Pelodiscus sinensis: one gene and its partners. The protein of the gene in region 1 interacts with the protein of each later gene in a pairwise test. Links are inferred from orthologs where the notes say so. Each region holds a gene or a part of one and is shown in the gene's direction. Other genes may lie near its edges. The genes, in order: LDLRAD1, BNIP3 and MALL.

Region 1 (3,753 bases):
TTGTTCTTTCCTATAGCAGCTATAATCTTGTGCCTGCTAGATATCTTGAAGAAGGCGCTGTGATGGTTTTCCTTAAAACCCCTTTGCAAAAATTTAGAAACTGGCCTAAATATCTTATTTTGGCCAGAGTTATTAGCGCTTTTTTTAAAATGTCTGATTATATCTACATTCAGGTTAGAAGTAAGCAATAGATACTGGTTTTTGCATAGCTTTTTGTACACTAGCAAAAATTGTATTTGAGACGTTCCAGAGTAACTCATTACATAACTTGCTGTTCTGGTTTTAATTAAAGTTTTGGTTGAGTGGGAGGCGAAGATGGTTGCCGAATGGGCAAATTTTGAGGACTATATAGCTTATGCATTATGGGTCCATACTTGAAGTGCGTACCACATACACTGTGGTGCTTGCAATTGTGTGTTAAGCATACACAGAGCTGCTATAAATCTGTTCTTTAAAATCATGTGCACCTTACATTTTTTTGTCATTAAGGTATAAGTTGAGGGGTGTCTACTGTGTTAAAATACAAACATTGAATGTTTGCCCAATTACTATGTAACTTTTGGTTGATGTGGCATTGAAAGAGGATCTGACTTAACTATGAAAGTTGGAGTGCAATGCTCTTCTTAACATCTCTAAATATTTAGGTTTTTGCAAGGATCTCAATGTGAAAGTTGTTTGTGTAGTGCTTTAAAAATTAGCTTTTTTTCTGTATTGTAGTAGCAATTGTCCCAAGACTCATTTCTATGCAGTCATGTACTTAAGTACACAGCCTTGTTAAATGCAGAATGCTGATGTACTAATATTCAATGCACCTTGAGCAATGATAGCTTAAGATGCAAATACAGACTTCATACCAGTGGCCATTGCTGGTATTCTTTGCACTACCTTTGTCTGCAGGACAGTTTCAATAACACTTTAGTTATCCCAAATCTTTATAACCGGCATTGTAAATGTTCTTTGAATCTGTTTTTTCCCCTATGATGTGTAAATGTTTATCGCTTCACTGAAAGTATAATTGTCCAGTTGCCTGTTTCAGTACAATGTATAGCTCTAATTGTCAATGACTTCAATTTTAACTCATGCATGTAAAACTGTTCTTCTCATTTCGTTTTTCTAAAGGTGGCTGTTTTCAAATGTTTAAATTTTTAAATAATTGGGTTAATTAACAGTTTCTAGTTTTTTAATATTGAGCTGTAATATCTACTTAAACTTCTGGAAACCAGAAATGAAAGGAAGGAAAAGAATAAACAAAGGTTCAAATCTTGGGCATTGTTACTTGAAACGTTACTATACTAGGAATAAAGTCTAGGACTCAGTAACTCCTATAAGCAGTATCGGCGGGAGGTGGAGGGGGACCTGCATTCCTGCAATGAGATTCTTGAGGTATTAATTTCTATAAACAAATTTATATAGCTTAAAGGACCTGACTTCTACGCTATTGTACATCTTTTGTATCCAGGTTTTTCCCATTACCACATTTGATTCTGATAATTAGTTGTTACTACAGTAAGAACTGCTGGAATTAGACCGATTCACTCATCTTGGCACTAAGATATTGTTTAACTACTATGGGAGCAAACCTAGATCCTATATGCTAGTTAAGATGGCAAAACAATTTCTATTCAACTTATTTTCAAATACTCAGACTCTTGAAGTACTGTATACAGTAACTGGGTTTTGGGCTCTTCTCAAAGATGGAAAATTAAATTGCCCAAGCAATTGTAGATGAGGGACCAAATACTTCCTCCTCTTCCCCCACCCATATAATTGTGCATCTCTCCTCTTACTTTGAGAACTCGGATTCCTAAGCATAGAAACAAGAACCCTGCTGTATCGGTGGCTAAATCAGCTATACATGATTTCAGTTACAAAAAACTAGTAGTAAAATAACTAAGCTATGGCCACTGCACCATAGATACCTAGGACTCTGGTAATTCCTACTAACTGGCAGTGGTGGAAGTTCACATGCTTGCATCTCCCCTTACAAAGCTCACAAACTTTACTTCACAGATACAGAAACTGAGGGGCAAAGGCAGTTTCTGATTGAGCTGTAGTTGTCTTAACACTTCATCTCTCATCTTGGTTCTTACCTTCTACTCTAGAGCAAAGTGTTTGCTGGTCTCTGATTTCTTAATGATAGACAAAGATGAAATGTCCTGGCTGGTTCTCAGGCTTAGCATCAGAATATGGATTTACAAGGATTAGTTAGCTCTATGTGGCTCCTGAGGGGGATCATGCTGGAGTAAGGATCATTCCAATTATTCAGAATGATCCCTGAAAAAGGATGTTGAATCACTAGCATTCGTGGGTATGTGCTGTGCTGTCACGTGTGATGTAAGAATTTAAGTAAAATCCCATTTTAACTCTTTTTAAAAGAGCCAAGTGGGAGGCACCTATTTGTAGAGGCACATTCTCATGGTCTTACTTTCCTCAATACCAGCTGTAAATACTGCAGATGCAGTGATCAAAGGCAATTATACTCAACATCCCTGTCACCAGAACATCCAATTGAAATTCCTAGGACATCAACTTAACCTGCTATTTTTTGGTCTAAACTTGGAATATTTTAACATCTGCCAAACCAGTTGTAACTTTATATTTTTTTTCAACCCAGTAGTCTTCTTAAACAGCAGCCCTAACAGAGGATATTAGAGTTCCTTAAGCTGCTGGATCTTTTTTTTGTTTTGTTTTGTTTTTTTGGGCCATTTGAACGGAGCATTTTTAACAAACTTCTAGGGCACTGGTATGTTTTGTGTTCAGTGCTTCCCACACCCCCAGAATATGTTGTGCTAGGCAGTCATCTAAACTTGGAATCTTGCAGAGGCAGGAACTAGTCTGTTACACTTGAACAGTATCATGCTATTGAAACGGGAGGAGGGGAATCTTAAACTATTAAAGGATTCAGAGGGGTAGCTGAGTCTGTAACTAAAAAGACTTAAAACAATGAATAGTCTAGTAGCATCTTAAAGACTAACAAAACATGTAGGTGGTATCATGAGCTTTTGTGGGCAAAACTCATACCATCTGCTTATTAGAGGATTGTCAGTCTTAGACAAAGGCTGATTTAAGATGTGTGATGGGCTGAAAATTCCAACTTAACTAAGTCACCTTGGGCTACCCTTTGCCTGTTATGTGGAAACTGATACATGGTAGAATACTAGAGCTGGAAGGGACCTTGAGATATCAAGTCCAGTCCCCTGCCCTAGTTTGAAATGTTTCCTTTTCACTCCTAATCTCTCCAGAAATAGAGGCCCAGCAACTGATTCTGCTTTAGTGTCTGTGAGGATGGTTCCTTTAGTTATTTCACTGTGCTTCAGAAAACCAGCCTATGCCCTGGTTGCTATAACAAATCAACTTCATTTAACTTTCCCATTGAAATAGCTGTGTATATGCCCATCTCTAAATCACAGTTGTAAGGCTAGCTCGCTATCTAGCTGTCTCCTTGTCCTTTCACCTGTCTGATTTCCAGGAAGGTGACTGGCATTGCAGCATGTCTGGAAAGTTAATTCTGCTTCTGCCAGAGGCTGCTGTGCTCAGTAAGCTCTGTTCTGCTCATTTGCTAGTGAAATAGTATATGGGACAGTTGAATTGCAGCAGTGCACTGTGCTGTTCTTAGGTGGTGGTGTATGCTCACTGTTTTACCTAGGATTCACACAATATACCTGCATTGCTAGGAAAAGCTCTGATCTATCCTCTGAGCTGCTGTTATCCCCTCTTATTTACCCCCTTATCTCTAGAATTCCAGCCCAATTT
Region 2 (3,753 bases), on another chromosome or scaffold:
AAGAAAATGTTGAAAGAGAAAGTTTAAAAATTATATGTAGAATAGTATTTAGCAAAGATGGCTCAAAAGCAATTTACCACAAACTGATATTTGACTGTGGCCCTCCTGGTCAGAAATGTCTGGTTGTAGCAAAGATAATTCTTGCAGCAACCAAGAGTCCTCCTCCCTCCCCACCCCAACCCCCATTGCTATAGTAAACCAACCTCCGTGAGAGGAAATAGCTGGACTGTCAAAATAATTTTTCTATTGACTAACATTGTATAAAACGTGGGTTAGGTTGGTATATTTTTCACAACCGAGGTAGCTAGACTGATCCACGTTTTGGATGTAATACAAGGCTTACAGACGGTGTCTAAAAGCCACTACAATTAGTAAACAGTAGGGAAACACTTCTAGCCACACCGGTCAGTAACAAGTTGCACAGCAAGTGAAGGAATGAATACGTGATCCTGACAGTGCTGGAAAATGATGTCATGAGCCTCGGCGTAGAAATCAATGCACATTAGTGAACGTGGGAACTGAACATTTTGTCCCTCATTTCCCACCCAATCTGAAATGAGGCCAACTTAGTGTCCAATGCAAACTAGCCATGGCTTGATATCTTTTTAGCCAATCAGGAGTGAGTTCTGACTTTGGCGCTTCCTGATCAGGGCCAGCTGGTGGGGGGCCGGGGAAGCGTTAAAAGCCAATGTGCAAAAGCCGGGTGCTCCGTAACAGCTTAGTAACAGCCTTGCCCCATGTTGCAATGAAAGAAGAGGCGCCACTAGGCCCCAGAGGGCAGTAGCCGCTCGGAGACATCCAGGCTTTGAGCTTGTTCCCAGCAGGTCGCGGGCAGCCCGTGCACCCGCAAGCGCTACAGGAGCAAAAGGGGAGGAATGTGATGACAGCCAATCAGGGTGGCCCGTTCCCTCGAGACGTCATACTCCCCAGCAAGCCCCAGAACCTGCAGTAGCAATAACAATAACAGAGCCTGTCAGCTGCTGGCCACTGATCCGCCCGCCCTGCGTACTTGGCCGCAGTCAGCAGCTGCAGCAGCAGCGGCCCCCGCCAGCCGCGTCGGGACGCGAGAAGCGCAGGCTGAAAATAGCAGCGCCTGCCCCGAAGAAGCCGGAGACAATGTCGCAGGGCGAGGGACTCAGCCAGCCGGAGGAGAATTTGCACGGTAAGAGCCCCCCTTACTAGCCAGGGTTAGGCCCCTAGTGCAGGCCCCCTAAGGGAAGCGCCCCACCCCCATTCCATCAGCCTGCGGGGACCTCACCACTGGCTGTCCGGAATGGGAGCTGTTTGGGACTCCGGTTCCCTTTGTTGATAGCCCGTGACGCCTTCGCAAGACAAGATCTGCTGTTAGGCGCAATAAATAACCCTGCAGTAAACACGACACTTGACAAGCAGGGGGTAGACTGCCCCTGCCAGCGCTGGTAAATGGATGGTGATCGGTCCTTCATGCGCCAGGACTGTCGTTGAATCCAAGTAGTGTGGGATTGCGTACGGGCTTTATTGTACCTTGTCTGGAGCTAGGGTTAATGTGAGCAATTTAGAAATCACAGTCAATGAGGTATCTCGTTACACGCGCCGCCTTTCCCCACCCCCATGCAGTGAGGTTGCCATTAGCAGCAATCCAGTTATCACAAACATGGCAGGTACACTTACGGTTTCATGGATGGCTAGCTGTGGGATTAAGAAAGAAAAGCACCTTCTTGCCAGCTCCCTGATATAATTGATGTTCCTTAGACCTGAAACTCCATGGGACAGATGTGATGGATTTGGGTCGTTTTGGAAGCACCCTATTTTTTGTTGTTGGAAATAAATAATAAACATCTTTTTATGTTCAGATTTACCTATTCTAGTTTGACATATCCCCCCAGCAAACCATAATCCTTTGGCTGAATATATTTTTCTTTCACAACAGAGGAATGGAAGAATGAGAGATAGGATTTTAATAAATAAGCGTGTTTTACCATGGGTGACAAAAAATGAAATCAGGGCTTATATTTGCCATACTTAAAAATATTGAAATCAGTTTGCAGAAGATATTTTATGAATTCTCCCTTATTCACCTCAAATTGGGGAATGCAGGTATTTCCTGCATACTTTGCAGATTTGAAAATAAAGATCAAAAAGTCTAGCTTACATTCCCAAATCTTCTCTATGATTTCACTGTGTGTCAATGTGAAAGACAGAGAGGTGTGGTTATTTAATTGCCTAAACTATATATAATGCCAGTTATTTTACCTTGTCATTTTAAGGGTTAGAAGTTTTGCACGTAGCAAAACCACAAGATGGTGTTTCATAACTCTCTCAGCCCTGGAAGATTTAAAAAAAAAAGATTCAGATGGTCTTATTTCTCTATCACTGATATGTACAGATAAGACACACATATCATAAAGGGACTTAGCCTGATATGTCTTTTCCTCACCTGGTGGTTGGAAAGGTAATAATGGTAAACATTATACATAAATATTTGTGTGCGCACCACATTTGGACTGGAACATTAAGACAAGTTTGCATGATAAGCTCATGATTACATTTGGGATATAAATATACAGTTTCCTTTGGAAGTAAGGTTCAATTTTATGTATTTTAATTTTATAGTATTTCTGGTAGGAGATTCTCAAGGCTCATGAAGAGAGACAGACAGCTGCTTCTCTATCAGGGAAGTCAAGGCTGGCTCAATGTCTTGGTGACCAAAAAGTGAACATAATTCTGAATAGGAATGGAACACATTTAAAAAAGCACTGAAATCTAAATCACACAGCCGCACACCAACAAGAGAGAGCTAGATTAGGATAGAGTTTCAAGAGACGTGCACTCTCGTAAAGAACAGAATGTGTTATTTGCGAGACAAAAAGTACTAAGTCAGAGGTAAGAGGTTATGCATTCAGATGTGATCTAGTGTAATTGCACATGCTCCTTGTATTTGGAATGTTGGAAGTGCAAAGGAGTTTGTTGAGGAGCTGAGGAATAAGACAACCGTCAAAGCATGTGAAGGACAGTTGTTTTAAATGGGGACTTCACTGATATTTGAGATAAGAGAGAGAGAGGGACTGGCATTCTGTGCACACTGAATTTTGTCTGCTCTCAGAGCAATTTGTCATTTCAGACATCAGAATTTTATGCAAATGTTCTGTGGCAGTGACTAACATTGGAAGTATTGCACTAAAGATATTCACAGATCCAATAATATCCCACTAATTATTCCATCTTTGGCTTGTCTCATGCTAGCCTTTATTTTTGTGTAATATTGCCTAGTCCAGTGCACCAGTCAGTCTTATTTTTTTTCCCTTCAAGTGCCTACCCATAACTCATTCCACTCAGGTTGCCTTCCAGCTCTCAACCTCTCCTACCTACATATCTGTTTATGTTCCTGTTTTTTTATTAAACATCAGCCTTCAGTATCTAATCACTATTGCAAGAGCTCACTTACAGTAATCTATCTATAACACCAATCACTAAAAGATCCAATATACAAAGTCATAATCAGGGACTGTGTTTAGTTGACATGTGAAGCAGTTTTGAATGGCTGTGGAATTGTATAAATAGGAAATCGATGAGAGCTGGAACTTTGATAATTTTAACACTTATCAGCACTGGCCATTATCCAAAGTTTTGCCTGTACAGCACATACAGATTAGGTCCAGATCTCTTGCATCATGAGAGAACAATGTTAGAACATGTAGTGTGATCTTGTTCAAAGAGTAAATGATGGAACTATGATCTAACTCAGTTGCAACAGAAGGCTCCTAACACTTGTAT
Region 3 (3,753 bases), on another chromosome or scaffold:
CAGGCGCCTCTCTCTCCTGGTCCCGGTGCTCCCCGAGCCGGGCCCAGGCTGTGTGGAGGAGGAGGGTGCTTGTTTGGACCGCCGAGGGGAAAAGAGCCAGTCCTGGGTGGAGCAGAGACTGTGGTGGGGTGGCACCAGGACTGGAGGCTGGCCGGGGAGTGGCAGGACTCAAGGGCTGGGATTTGCGTGGGGGGAGACGGGGACTGAGAAATTGGGGATGGCCTAGGAGCTAGTGGAGAGGAGACTCAGATCAGATCAAGAGCTGGGCAAAGAGCCAGGGACTAGGAACTAACAGGACACAAGTGGGGTAGGCAGCCTTTTCAAAACAAGGTCACCGTGTGTTAATCACCCGGCTACGGAATCTGAAAGTCCTTGGCTTAGCAAAGAGAGGCAGAAATTCTTCCGGAGTCCATGCTGGTCCAGCCAGCGCCGTGAGGAGCCAGCCCTGCGTTGGTCTCCCTCTCCGACTCCTCTTGCCCCTTTTGTCACTCCGGAGTCCCAGCAAAGGGACCCCAGCACCTAACACATTCCCGGTCACTGCTCCAGCTCACTGCACGCGTCCCCTCTGCCCGGGTCTCCTGCCATTCGGTGTAGCGGCGTCAGTCACTGGGATCTCTTCCTGGCTTCTCTGTTGAGCTGGGTTGGGGTCAGCCTGTTCTTTCACGGCCCGGACAGAGAAGGGACCCACGTCCATTCTGGCAACAGCTGCATGAGGCCTCCCAGCCAGGTAGCTGCGCAAAGTGTCATAGGAAACGGAGCCACAAATCAGAGTGATAAAAATCTCACCAGTCATCCGCACGTTGTCATCCACCGGCTTATTCACTGTCCAAGGAATGTGCTTAATTAGCTCGAGCAGCTGAGGATTCTTTTGGCCGCAAGGAGCGGTCTGACCTGCCAGGCTGGAACTGGTTTTACTGATTACCTCCAGGCAGGTGTGTCTCTGGCTAGTACTTTTAAGCTGTGCATTGCACTGATAACCGAGGATAGCGGAGCAGGACTTGGAGCTGAGCAGAGAGGAGATGGCATCAAAAGATCTCCCCGCACCTGTTACCAACATAGAAGCGGACATACCATCTGGACTAAAAGTCCTGAGAACGGTGCCATATGCTTTTATCGTACCAGAGCTAGTAAGTACACGGCATGGTTTGATTTGCTCGCTTGCGATGGCAAAAACTTAACGACTATGTCAACGGCAGGGAGGAGGCGGGAATCCAGAGCCAGCACCGAAAGCAACTGGGGTAAGAAGAAAGCGATATGGGGAAAAGTTTACTTCCGCTGCTACTTATCTTAAAATCGTTAGGTCTGGCATCTTCCTCGGGGCTGGAGTCACCCAAAATAGTGCTTCTCATCCGAGCATGGGGTGGCAGTTTTATGTTTTATTAAGTCAGATCTTGGAAGTTAGAGGCGTGTCTGTCACTTGCTTCTTCAGGGCTGTTTTTTCTCTGCCCTCTTGCAGTTTTCTGGGGGGGGGTCAAAGGTTGTATTATCATATGCCAGCAATGGCAGGTTTTCTTAATGTTCCTTTGTCCAGAGTCCTGGATGTGCGTCGCAGAAGGTCTAATAAGATTATGGCAATCGATGTTGTACTTTGATATACAATACAGCCATCTAGGTCTGTTCGTAATCATTACGTCCATAAAATACGTTGATTGGGTGTATTTGGTAATTGCTGCTGCCTATTCAGACAGCTATAGGAAAAGATAAGCTGACGTTTCCATTAGAAATGTCAGCATTTTAAGACTTTATTGTTGGCTTGATGCTGACAATGAGTGTTTAATTGTGGTGTCATGAACACCACATTGATACAGCATGTGACCAATCAGTGACACACAGATCTCAGTGGTTCAGGAGCCAAATTAGCCATCAGCATTACCCGGAGGAGCCACAGCTGTGTGAATTCATTGTTTCATTTACTATCGTACTATCAGGGCCACCAATGGGGGGACAAAGGGACAGTCGCTTGGGGGCCTGTTGATTTAAAAGGGCCTGGTGTTCTGGGCTGCTGCCACCACAGCTACGGCAGAGGACGGAGACCTGGCCCCTTTAAATTGCCCCCTGAGCTGCATGGTGTGGTCTGAATGGCGTTGTGGGCTGCCCGGAGGAGGTATGACACTGTTTGGGCAGCATTGAGAGCTGGCTGCCTCTAGCCCCGCCCCTTCTGCCTGAGGCCCTGCCCCTTCTGCCTGAGGCCCCGCCCCTTCTAGAGCAGTGGCCCCTCACACACATTGCTCAAGGCCCTGCAAAGTCTGTCACCAGCCCTGAGTCCTATTCTTATTTAAACAGTGTGACGGGGAAATATTGTGTGTGTGTGTGTGTGTGTGTGTGTGTGTATTACTGTTTTATATATTGTGTGTGTGTGTGTGTGTGTGTGTGTGTGTGTGTGTGTGTGTGTGTGTGTGTGTGTATTACTGTTTTATCCACCGCCATTGGTTATGGCCTAGTTAAAGCATCCTGATGGTTTAATGACTTTGTTAATTATTAAATCGAGGTTATAATAACATGCTGCAAAGAGCTGCAGGCGATGCCTAACCCTGCATATCTTTGATGAAAATCATGCAAGGCCTTTCCTTGCAGCAAGCGCTCGCTTTCACGTTAGCTACTTGGCTGCTGCTCAGTCTCAACCCAGGCAGGTTTGTGCATCTTTCATACAAGCTAGAGACTCTGGCCACTTTTATCATTATTGTTATGGACTTGAGTTGCCCAAAAATCTACCAGCACTTGTATACTGGTGGGAGTGGAAGTGACTATCTAAGATTTACCCCTTGATTGGATCCTCTTGCAGAGAGATAAGAAGAAAGTATCTCTAGACAAGACGCAATAGCTGTCATCTGTGTAGTTTTTAAATGTCTCGTGATAGATTTAGGAGGTATTCGCAGGAAGAGAGATGCGAAAGTCCCAACCCATCATACATTCTTACTGCGCATTGGCACAATGTATAAGGCTTGATAGTCCACTCCACTCTCACTGCTAGGGTACATCTAAACTACATGGCTCCGTCAACGGAGCCATGTAGATTTGTTTGTTCGACAAAGGGAAATGAAGCCGCAATTTAAATAATCGCGGCTTCATTTAAATTTAAATGGCTGCCCCGCTCTGCCCATCAGCTGTTTGTCGTCAGATCGGGGCAGTCTGGATGCTCCCCTGTTGACATGAAAGCCCTTTTTCGACCTCCCCGGTAAACCTCATCCTACGAGGCATAACGGGGAGGTCGATAAAGGGCTTTCAGGTCTGCGCGGGAGCGTCCAGACTAGCGCGTTGAGCAGACAAACAACTGATCAGCTGTTTGTCGGCTCAGCGCAGCAGCCATTTAAATTTAAATGAAGCTGTGATTATTTAAATTGCGGCTTCATTTCCCTCTGCTTATCAGCCTAATCTACATGGCTCCGTCGACGGAGCCATGTAGTTTAGACACACCCGTATAGATCAAGTGTCACTTAGGATATGTGTACACTAAGAAACTATTCTGAAATAATTTACATTGATTTAGTAACTCCTGAAATAAGAAAATCAAGCTAGCGTGTCCTCACTACAGGGAACCCTCAAAATGAGACAGAGGCAGAATGTGAATATGGACGGGCTCCCTCGACTTGGAGCCCCTGGAAACGTTGGGGAGTCATTAGTTCGAATGACTCTGGGGAGCCGTTCTTTTGAAATAGCAGCACTGGAGCGTCCACACGATCGCTATTTCGAAATCACTAGTTTGGAATTAGCGTGATTCCCCGAGGAAAGCAGGAGGACAGATTTGGAAATAAG

What was found.
Region 2: the proteins of LDLRAD1 (region 1) and BNIP3 interact in binary tests that used the Homo sapiens proteins (3 or more experiments, as listed by UniProt). The two-hybrid records come from large-scale screens. The link is inferred for Pelodiscus sinensis from reciprocal best matches to the Homo sapiens genes LDLRAD1 and BNIP3.
Region 3: the proteins of LDLRAD1 (region 1) and MALL interact in binary tests that used the Homo sapiens proteins (3 or more experiments, as listed by UniProt). The two-hybrid records come from large-scale screens. The link is inferred for Pelodiscus sinensis from reciprocal best matches to the Homo sapiens genes LDLRAD1 and MALL.

Annotation. Positions count from the first base shown.
Region 1 is NC_134719.1:11,284,415-11,288,167, reverse strand, and holds the start of LDLRAD1 (low-density lipoprotein receptor class A domain-containing protein 1), read left to right. Parts: upstream 1-1,407; 5' UTR 1,408-3,753.
Region 2 is NC_134718.1:47,399,434-47,403,186, forward strand, and holds the start of BNIP3 (BCL2/adenovirus E1B 19 kDa protein-interacting protein 3), read left to right. Parts: upstream 1-799; 5' UTR 800-1,116; coding exon 1,117-1,162; intron 1,163-3,753. UniProt on the Homo sapiens protein: Apoptosis-inducing protein that can overcome BCL2 suppression. May play a role in repartitioning calcium between the two major intracellular calcium stores in association with BCL2.
Region 3 is NC_134713.1:196,682,408-196,686,160, reverse strand, and holds the start of MALL (MAL-like protein), read left to right. Parts: upstream 1-953; 5' UTR 954-1,019; coding exon 1,020-1,127; intron 1,128-3,753.